2 linked regions of the Schizosaccharomyces pombe genome follow. The gene in region 2 interacts genetically with the main gene of each other region. Each region holds a gene or a part of one and is shown on either strand. Other genes may lie near its edges. The genes, in order: rud3 and ppk26.

Evidence for each region.
Region 1: mutations in ppk26 (region 2) and rud3 impair growth when combined (synthetic growth defect), as found in Schizosaccharomyces pombe (one large-scale study listed by BioGRID).

Annotation. Positions count from the first base shown.
Region 1 is NC_003423.3:738,162-742,386, reverse strand, and holds rud3 (golgin protein Rud3), read right to left. Parts: upstream 2,125-4,225; 5' UTR 2,113-2,124; coding exon 907-2,112; 3' UTR 511-906; downstream 1-510. Other genes in the region: U4/U6 x U5 tri-snRNP complex subunit Prp31, read left to right, coding at 1-424; double-strand-specific ribonuclease Pac1, read left to right, coding at 3,592-4,225.
Region 2 is NC_003423.3:2,764,716-2,769,800, reverse strand, and holds ppk26 (PAN complex subunit Ppk26), read left to right. Parts: upstream 1-2,047; 5' UTR 2,048-2,110; coding exon 2,111-2,201; exon of another isoform or gene 2,202-2,249; coding exon 2,250-2,344; exon of another isoform or gene 2,345-2,362; intron 2,363-2,403; coding exon 2,404-2,444; intron 2,445-2,489; coding exon 2,490-2,646; intron 2,647-2,699; coding exon 2,700-2,795; intron 2,796-2,834; coding exon 2,835-2,979; intron 2,980-3,021; coding exon 3,022-3,171; intron 3,172-3,216; coding exon 3,217-3,327; intron 3,328-3,364; coding exon 3,365-3,590; intron 3,591-3,670; coding exon 3,671-4,202; exon of another isoform or gene 4,203-4,249; coding exon 4,250-4,327; exon of another isoform or gene 4,328-4,332; intron 4,333-4,433; coding exon 4,434-4,481; 3' UTR 4,482-4,532; downstream 4,533-5,085. Other genes in the region: INCENP-like protein Pic1, read right to left, coding at 1-329, 373-530; mmp2 (endopeptidase catalytic subunit), read left to right, coding at 4,805-5,046. UniProt on the Schizosaccharomyces pombe protein: Regulatory subunit of the poly(A)-nuclease (PAN) deadenylation complex, one of two cytoplasmic mRNA deadenylases involved in mRNA turnover. PAN specifically shortens poly(A) tails of RNA and the activity is stimulated by poly(A)-binding protein pab1.

The sequences.
Region 1 (4,225 bases), 2.0 Mb from region 2:
TGGAGGAAGAAGAATTCGCAAGATGAAAGAGCAATATGCCGTAACGGAATTGCGGAGATTACAGAATCGCGTCGCCTTTGGTAAGGAGGAGGCGGAAGTCTTTAATTTTGACGAAACGGAAGGTCTTGGTATGCTTGGTCAAGAAGGTGAAGGAAAAATTCGTGCAGTGTCAATTGATTCTCGAACTAAATTACGGTTACCAAAAGCGCGGAAGGCCCAACTACAATCAATGGCACAGAAGAATCCCCTTGCTGCAAGCGGTTTACAAAGTTCATTATCCTTCACACCTATTCAAGGCATTGAACTAGTGAACCCCTTACTTCAACGACAACAAAAAGTAGAAGAGGCCAACAAATGGTTTCGTGATGGTGTTTTTACACAGATAAAGAAGGATTCTAATGAGCCGAAAAATAAATTTTCATAATAATGTCTTCATAATGATTAGTTACTTTGCATATAGCTATGTTGCTTTTGCATACTAGTAATACAGACCATAACTATGACCTGAGTGATTAAAATAAAATGATATTTTTAAAATTCTTCGAAAAAACTGATATTAACAAACAATTTTGAAAATTAAGAATATTGACTAATAGATGAAATTGCAACAAGCGCTTTTGCCATAAAGCTAGGCATAGCAGGAGAAGGCAAAATATCAAAATGAACGTATGAAACTATTACTTCAAGAATGATATAGTCAACCTTCAAAATGTGTGAAAAGAGAGTAAAAAAATACTAAAACCTTGTACGCGCGGCAAAAGGTAACCCCTAATTAAGTTGTGAAGTAAGAAAAAAAAAAGCGATACATAAAAAGAGCGAAAGATATTATTATTTACAGAAAAAAGAAAAATCTTTCATACCATTGCTCAATTGAAACGTAAAATTATCGGTTAGTGTGGAAGAAAATTATGAGTCATGGAAAGAACGTCTTTTGGAAAAGGAATGATCGGAGAATAGAGAGTTAGAGGACGCACTGTGAGGAATACTCCAATTATTTACAGAGGAACCAGGACGTTGAAGTCCCGTTTGTTCCCTTTGCGTATCGTTCCAATCTAACACGGAAGAAATTAATTGCAATATTTCGAAACGTTTAGTGTCAGCGCGAGGAAGCGTCAAAAAGGAGACAAACAAATTAGAAATAAGTTGTTTGTCAATTTTTTCTGCATTATTTCCATCTTTAAGCATGCAGAGAGCCTTTGTAAGATGTTCATTCAAAACAACGGCCTCGTGCTGCAGTTTACCAATAAGTAGGGTTTTTTCTTTCACCTCGTGCTCCAAATCAGAGACCCTTGAAAGCCTTTTCTGTGTAGCATCTAACTCATTTTGCAAATCTTCGTACTCTTTTGATTTAGAAGCGAATTTCTCAGTCACGTCGTCCATGGCCTTCTGCCAATTTCTGGTAAGTTCACCGAGGTTTTCAGTATGGGAAGCTTTGGTGGATTCTAATTCAATTTCTAGTTGATGCTGATTTGTCAAATGACGTTGAATTTCAACTTCATACTGCTCTTGTCTTTCAGTTTCTCTAGCTAGCTGCTCTTCACAATCTGCCAATCGAACGGCCAATGATTCTTGCATCTCATGTTCATCTCTGGCTCTTCTTTCCCATTGTTTTGATTGAGTCGATAACAATTGATTTTCTTCAACAAGCGAAGCATTTTGCTGTCTCAAATCTGTTATATCTTGCGTTAAGCTTTCTACTTGTGCGGTCAAGGTTACGGTTTCTTCATTGCTCAACTTAAGTGCTTCCTCTGCATCGCCCAAAGACTTTTCGAGCTCTTGAATTCGTTTTCGATTTTGAGCTAACTCTTGAGAATCCTTCTTAAGCCTTTCTCCCAACGTTGACTTAATTCCCGAGACCTTCCCGAGTAAATTAGAGTGTTGCTGCTTCAATGAGTTATAAGAATTCTTTAATGTTTGATAAGCTTCCTCCTTCTCCGCCAATTTCTTGAAAGATTCTGAACATTCTAAATGTTCATCGTTTTCTTTCAAAACTCCGCCTTTTTCATTCAATTTGAGCTCATTTTTTTCATCTTCTAAGTTCAAACGACTTAAATCCTCTTGTAAATTCTCATTTTCCACCAATTTTGTTTCATTTCCTGCATTTTCTGCCATTCCAGAAATTATGGGAAATTGAATTAGTGAGCTCTAGAGTGGCCCTAAAACATCCATCTTTTCGTAAACATTTCCATAAACCTCGATAATATTCCTTTAACTTGGTTTACGAAATACTAAACCTTTTGCTTTAAAATTTGTTACTACAATAAACAGTAGCAACGTATTCAACTTTAACTGTAAGCTACGCAGTTTGGTATCTGATTTAAGGATACGTAGAACTGCGGTGAGTTTTCCTTATGGTCTATTTATATTACAATACACAGGTTGTATAAGTAGCAACTGAGTATAGGTATTGTATTAACTGGGTTATAATGTTACCTATCACTAATATAGCTCATAACTGAACTGAGGAACGAGGTTCAGTTGTAACGCTATTTATAATATTTCTAAATAGTTGTTATTAACGGGTATCTATGTATATAGACGGATAGTTACCCGTGATTATCAATAAACGGATCTTAGCTAGTATTCCAACATATGACATATAGTGATACGCAACGTAGTGTATCATAGCGTAGTGTAGTATTGCTGACATTAACATACTTTGTTGACCGTTGTGCTGCGGTACGCCCCTATTCTTTCTCTGCTCATGTTAACCAACGAACGTGGTGAAATAAACCGCTAAGTTGGAAAAAGAGTGTTTCTTTCTTCCTTCTCCTTTCTCGTCCCTCACTGCCCAACATAAACAAACTCCCACACATATGAGGTTGAACGAGTCTGCATATTCTTTTTAAAGAAAAGAGTTGTTTTCTTATTCATATTGACGGTTTGGTAGTTCCTACGAACTTGCATTTCAGATTGTTTATTTTTCATTCGGGTTTTTGCAAAGTAAGTAGCGTTGTCTTGCATCTACGGTGATAGAGCTTTCTTTCAAATAAGGAGGATTGCTGGTCCTTGGTTTGGTCAACATACGGTTTTTAATCACATTTCGATTTTACGCTGCATTTTCGATTTGCTTCAGATATCATTAATTGGTAGATTTGAAGATTATAACATTGAAAAAGACTTTTTTCACTGTAAAAAATATTTATTTTTTTATATTCAGCTATTCGAAGAACATTTTTTTTGCATTTTTTTCTTAGCTGGGTAGGTGTTCTTCACATTGGAGAGCTGTTTTTGGTTGATTGTTTTGTTACAAGATTTTTTGCATTTGTATATTACACGGAGCTTTTCGTGCTGATCATTTTTTACTTCTTGATTGTTCTTTACTGTTTGTGGTATATTTCTAAAGAAAACACAAAGTAAAGTAATTTTGGGTAAATAACTTTTTCGTTGTGGCCCTTAGAACAGTATCCTGGTACTGCACATTTCTTCTACTGACGATATTTTTACCGGAACTCTGTTCCGTACTTAATTCTCGGCCATTTTTGACACCGATTTTTTAAGTAGATCCCAATACAGCATTCTTGGATACTTCTGTCTCTTTTAGCACCGTTTTCCTTCTCACAATCTACTTTATATTTCTACCATTTTCCTATGGGACGGTTTAAGAGGCATCATGAAGGGGACTCAGATTCCTCCTCATCCGCTTCCGACTCTTTATCAAGAGGAAGAAGGTCTCTTGGTCACAAGCGAAGTAGCCACATAAAAAATCGGCAGTATTATATTTTGGAAAAAAAAATTCGTAAACTCATGTTTGCTATGAAAGCCTTGCTAGAAGAAACAAAGCATTCAACAAAGGATGATGTGAATTTGGTTATCCCTGGTTCTACTTGGAGCCATATTGAAGGAGTCTACGAAATGTTGAAGTCAAGGCATGATCGCCAAAACGAACCTGTCATTGAAGAACCCTCCTCTCACCCAAAAAATCAAAAAAATCAAGAAAATAATGAACCAACATCTGAGGAGTTTGAAGAAGGAGAGTATCCCCCGCCATTACCACCTTTACGGTCTGAGAAACTAAAGGAACAAGTTTTTATGCATATTTCTAGAGCTTATGAAATTTATCCAAATCAGTCGAATCCGAATGAATTGTTGGATATCCATAATGAAAGGCTAGAATTTCTTGGTGACAGCTTTTTTAATTTGTTTACTACGCGTATTATATTCAGCAAGTTCCCTCAAATGGATGAAGGAAGTCTTTCCAAACTCCGGGCAAAATTTGTTGGCA
Region 2 (5,085 bases):
ATCTCGTTTCTTTAATAGGAGATACACCACCTTTAGTAGATTTATTAACTATATCATCTTTGACATATTCAGAAGATAGCTTAGTAGAATCCCTATCATCATCAAATTGGGTTTCTGTATTAGTAGCAGTATGTAATTCTTTAGGTTCCTTGACTGTATTGGATTCACCCGACTTATATCCTTCAACAGCAGCTTCCTCAAGCTGATGTTGAATAGATGTTAACCGCATGCGAGGCGTTGGTAACGCACATCGATGTACAGGACTTAAACGAGGAGTGGAGTACTTCTCCTTTATCTTGGTAGGTGTTCTCACTAATTCATATATATCCCTAACCATCTAATTAGCACATATGATAAACAACAAATGCGTACGACTCTAGCTGTAACTTGGAAACTTCAAGCATGTGTTCATTCAACCAGTCCATGGTTTCAGATACAAGGAAGAAGAATTCTTTCATTTTTCCATTAGTGAGTTGTTGGGAGTATTCCAACTCCTTATTAAACCATAGTTCTGACCCATTAGAGCCCATCCTGTTTGGTTACATATAAAGAATGAGCTAGTTGCTGGAGAGTGGTCGGTGGTGGAAGCAATCAAATGTCAACAATATACAACAGTAGTTGTATACCTAAGCTTCCAACTAAATTTATAAACAATTATGCTTTCCCAATTTACAAATGATCAAAAGGTTTATTGTTTTCAAGATTTAAATGTAAATATCAAGTTCCGATGTTATAAACAATTGTTAGGAATATAGACATCGGTTAACGACGAAGAGGTTTTTAACGAAGTAACACTTTAAGCCATACATTTTTTCGAGATGCCGATGCTGATTTTATTGCAGTAATTATTGAGTGGAATAAGCAACCCAATGCATGCAACCTATCGTTCGTTTGATCAGCAGACAGAGTTAACTAGTTTGTGTTCAAATATCTTTCACCATTTGTTTATGTTTAGTATATAGCAAGCGGCACAGACATAAAAGTTTCTATTGAACGGCTACAAGCAATTTGTCATGCTTTATACGCTTGTCATTTATTGGATTTTTTTAATGATTCGATCTACAATATTCACGCATTTTCTCCATTTTTTGTTCACATACTTGCCATAGCTTTTAAAAATAATTTTTCCAATCAGACAGAGATAAATGCCAAATATCATACACTTGTCTTTAAGTTTTCAAGAATGTATTAAAACATGGGTAACCATTCTCAAAAAATTAAAAGCTTATTCAATACAAAATTCACCGTTCTCTTTTCATTTTGAGCTATTTTAACTCAATTAGACTTTTCATTCCTTACTCTGTTTTAGAGGACAATGTAAAGAGAATAGGGTAATAAATATGCTTTTATAATTGACAGTCTGTTATTATTCTTTTTAGCAATTTAAATATTTTTCTGAATTCCTAAAATTTCTTTAATTAATTAAATAAATAATATATACTTTTTTGTCTGACAGATCAAAAAAGGAAGGGTGTCCGAGTGGTTATGGAGCTAGTTTAAGGCACTAGTGCGAAAGCTCGTGGGTTCGAGTCCCACCCCTTTCAGTAATTTTTTATTGCATTTTATAGCAAAACAGGGGAGTGTGAATTTGGCAAGCTGTTAGTTTCTATAGGGAATTTATAACTGCGAACTAAGTTTTCTTACTTGCAATGGCTATATATGGGAGGCCGAATTGCTTGAAAAACATAGCTTTGCATTTGAAACAATTCGCAAAAGTTGGCACTAAGGAAGAAGTTAAGATAAAAAAAATTCAGTTACTTTGGTTTTATGATTTGCAATTAAATTACAGTGATCGCAGAAAGATAGCAGCATTACGAAGACATGTTCAACTGCTACATAACACTTGCTATTGTTAAAGTTTTCGAAATAGTTACTGCCCGTTACATGTAAAGAACAGATAAAAAATAAATTAGAATTACTGTCTTCTCAAATGCTTAAATATTACTACTATGAAATTGTTATATAAACAAAATGTAGCGTTGCAAAGTATTACAGTAAACTTCGTTGTGCTGCATTATTAGTATTGTCCGGGACTTACTGATTCCACGACCTGTAACTAAATTGCTATAATCTCAGACTGTTAGCTTGGGATTGCCTGGAAATTGACAGGATGAGTGTGAGGAAGAATTCTCCTGCAAGCCCAAAGCCAACTTCCCGTTCTAGGGAGAGTTCCAGGTCTCCGTCAGTGACTGATTTGAAAGGTAAATGGAAATTCAAAGCAAAACTTGACTGACCACCATTTTTAATAGACCATTCCAAAGCTAAACGAACATTATGTAGAAATATCTTACTTTATGGATCCTGTAAGCATTCAGAAAATGGATGTGCTTTTCGACATGATGGTGTAAGTATAGGCGTATTCTCTTAACTTCAGAGAAGCTTCTTGCTTACGATTGTTTGTAGCCTTTCATCCCTTCTTCAGAGAATTTGGAGCAATACTCAGTGTATGATTTTTTTTAAGGCTTTGTACGTATAATTAACCTCGCTAGTAAGAAAAAACTGAATGCTGCGTCGGCCTCTTTTCAACCTGTTCGCGCTTTACCAGTAAAGGCTGCTGGCGCTGCAGTATTTGTTCCTAAATCACAAGAAAAATCTCTTTTTCTATCTAGAGAGCGTACCCCTGTTGCGCTTTCACCAGGTAGTCATGTATGTCTGGCTAACAGCTTATATTTTTCTTACTAATTTTACTGTAATTTTAGGCTATTAATCCTTACAATAATGCATCTATGTTGGTCAATGAGCCTTTTCATGATGACTCTGGGGTTTATTATACTCGTCAAAACCAGTTTAAACCCGTAAGTCTAAAGCCTTATTATTGTTGTTGACAACAACAGACATTGTACAATTTATATAATCCGCAACCTTCTCCCATGCCAACTTTACTTCCTTATGAAAGAACTGTAAACGGTCTATTTATTGATGATACGACTAGAGAAAGAATCGAGAGAAAGAGCGAGGCATCCCGTCAGACAATTTCAGGTACTTAATTTGTGTCTAGCTTCCTTTATACTAATATTTTAGCGCTTCCGTCTATTATATCTTCATATACTTCTTTGGCGCCACTGAATACAAAGCTTTATCGGTATAAAGAGCAAATTGGATTCTCTTCTTGGACGTACAAATGCACTTCTTCCATCGATGGGAATGCTTACGTTTTGAAACGACTCCAAGGTAACCTTCAGATTCATAAATTGCAATTGCTAATATATTTAAAAGACTGTTCAATTAATATTGATACGTCGACTGTCGACAAGCTTAAAAATGTTTTTCATCCAAATATCGTACCATTCCATTCTGCTTTTCATACTGATACATTTCATGATTCTTGTAAGTTTATTTTACTAAACCTTACTAATTAATCAAGCGTTACTATTAATTTATGATTTTTATCCGTGTACTACAACCCTTGGTGAGCTCTACCTAAACAATTCTAAAAATTCTGTCAAGTTGGAGGAAAATAGAAAAATTCCAGAACGAGAGTTATGGAATTATTTTTTCCAGCTTACTATCGCTTTGTCATATCTACATAAATCCGGGTTTGCTTGCAACAAGCTTACTCCGTCGAGAATCCTTGTGGATCAAACTGAAAGGTATTTTTTTTTGAACATTTTTTATGTTTTGATGGAATACATTTCTTTAATTCATTAATGACTTATACTAACGTGTAAAGGATTCGTATTAGTGGTTGCGCTGACTATGAATTGGTAGTGTCAAACAAGCCTCCATTAGAGGAACGAAAGAAGCAGGATTTTGTAGATCTTGGAGTTGTGATTGCGAATTTAGCTACTGGAAGAACTGATATGGACATGTCTTCAGCCGCACGAGCAATTTATAGTACATATTCGAGGGAATTTTATAAAGCGGTTTTATACTTTGTATCGGAAGTTCCTGAGGATAAAAACTTGGAGTTGTTTTTGCAAAATCACATAGAAAGTTTTTTCCCTATAATGAGTTCACCATACGTGGAATGCGAAAAAATGGAGAGAAAAATTTCGGACGCTTTCCAACACGGTCGATTTTTTAATATTTTGTGCAAGATTATGTTTATTATTGATAATAATAGAGCTTCTCGTGAATATCCTATCGCACGAGAAAAAGAAATTTCATTAATCTACTTATTACGAGATTATCTTTTCCATCAGATAGATGAAGATGAGTGTCCTGTGATAGATTTATATCAAGTGCTGAATCGCCTGGGAAAGGTAAGTTTTTTACATTTTTCTCATTATTGCATTTATTAATTCATTAGCTTGATGCCGGTATAAATCAAGCCATCGCATTAATTTCCCGAGATGAACTTGATTGTGTTTCAGTTTCTTATGGGGAGGTAAGTATTTGCTCAAAAAGCCATAGTGGGTGCTTAGTAAATTAGACTACTTTTCCACACTATATAGCCTGTTTGTTTGCAAAATTACTAACAATAACAAATGTAGCTAAAAGCTTGGTTGGACAACGTTTACGAAATGGAAATAAATTCTTAAAATAAAACATTTTTCTTTACAGAATATTTATTTGTTTTTTTGTATCTATTACCATGGTTGTTAATTTAAGTAAATAATAGTTTTCGCTATAATAATATTAGAAGGAAGCTAAGCTTAATGTGGTTTTGAATTACCTACTGCAACACACCGTATTGAAACAAAAACGATCAGGAATAGAAGCCTGACACTTATCAGATAAAATTCATTAATACGTTTTCCTGGTTTAATTATTAATTACGGAAACTCCCATGCTTGTTAAGGTACATACAGACGGTTAATCATAAACTTCTTAGAGGAGAGAGTTTAGCAGTTGTCCTCAAAAAATGGCAAACCCTTTCGTTCGAAATCAATCTTTTAAATCAGTATTTTTTAAAAATTTAGTCGGAATTACCCTATGGGTACCCGTATTAATGTTCGTTGAACAACATGTAGTCAGCGTCGGTACAATTGAAGGTAGATCTATGAAACCAGCCTTTAACCCTGAGACAAACATGCTGCAGAGAGATAGGGTACTACTTTGGAAATGGAATAAGGATTACAAAAGAGGAGATGTAGTTATACTACGGTAAGTTCTTGGATCGTTGCAGGGTCTTTCGGTACTGAG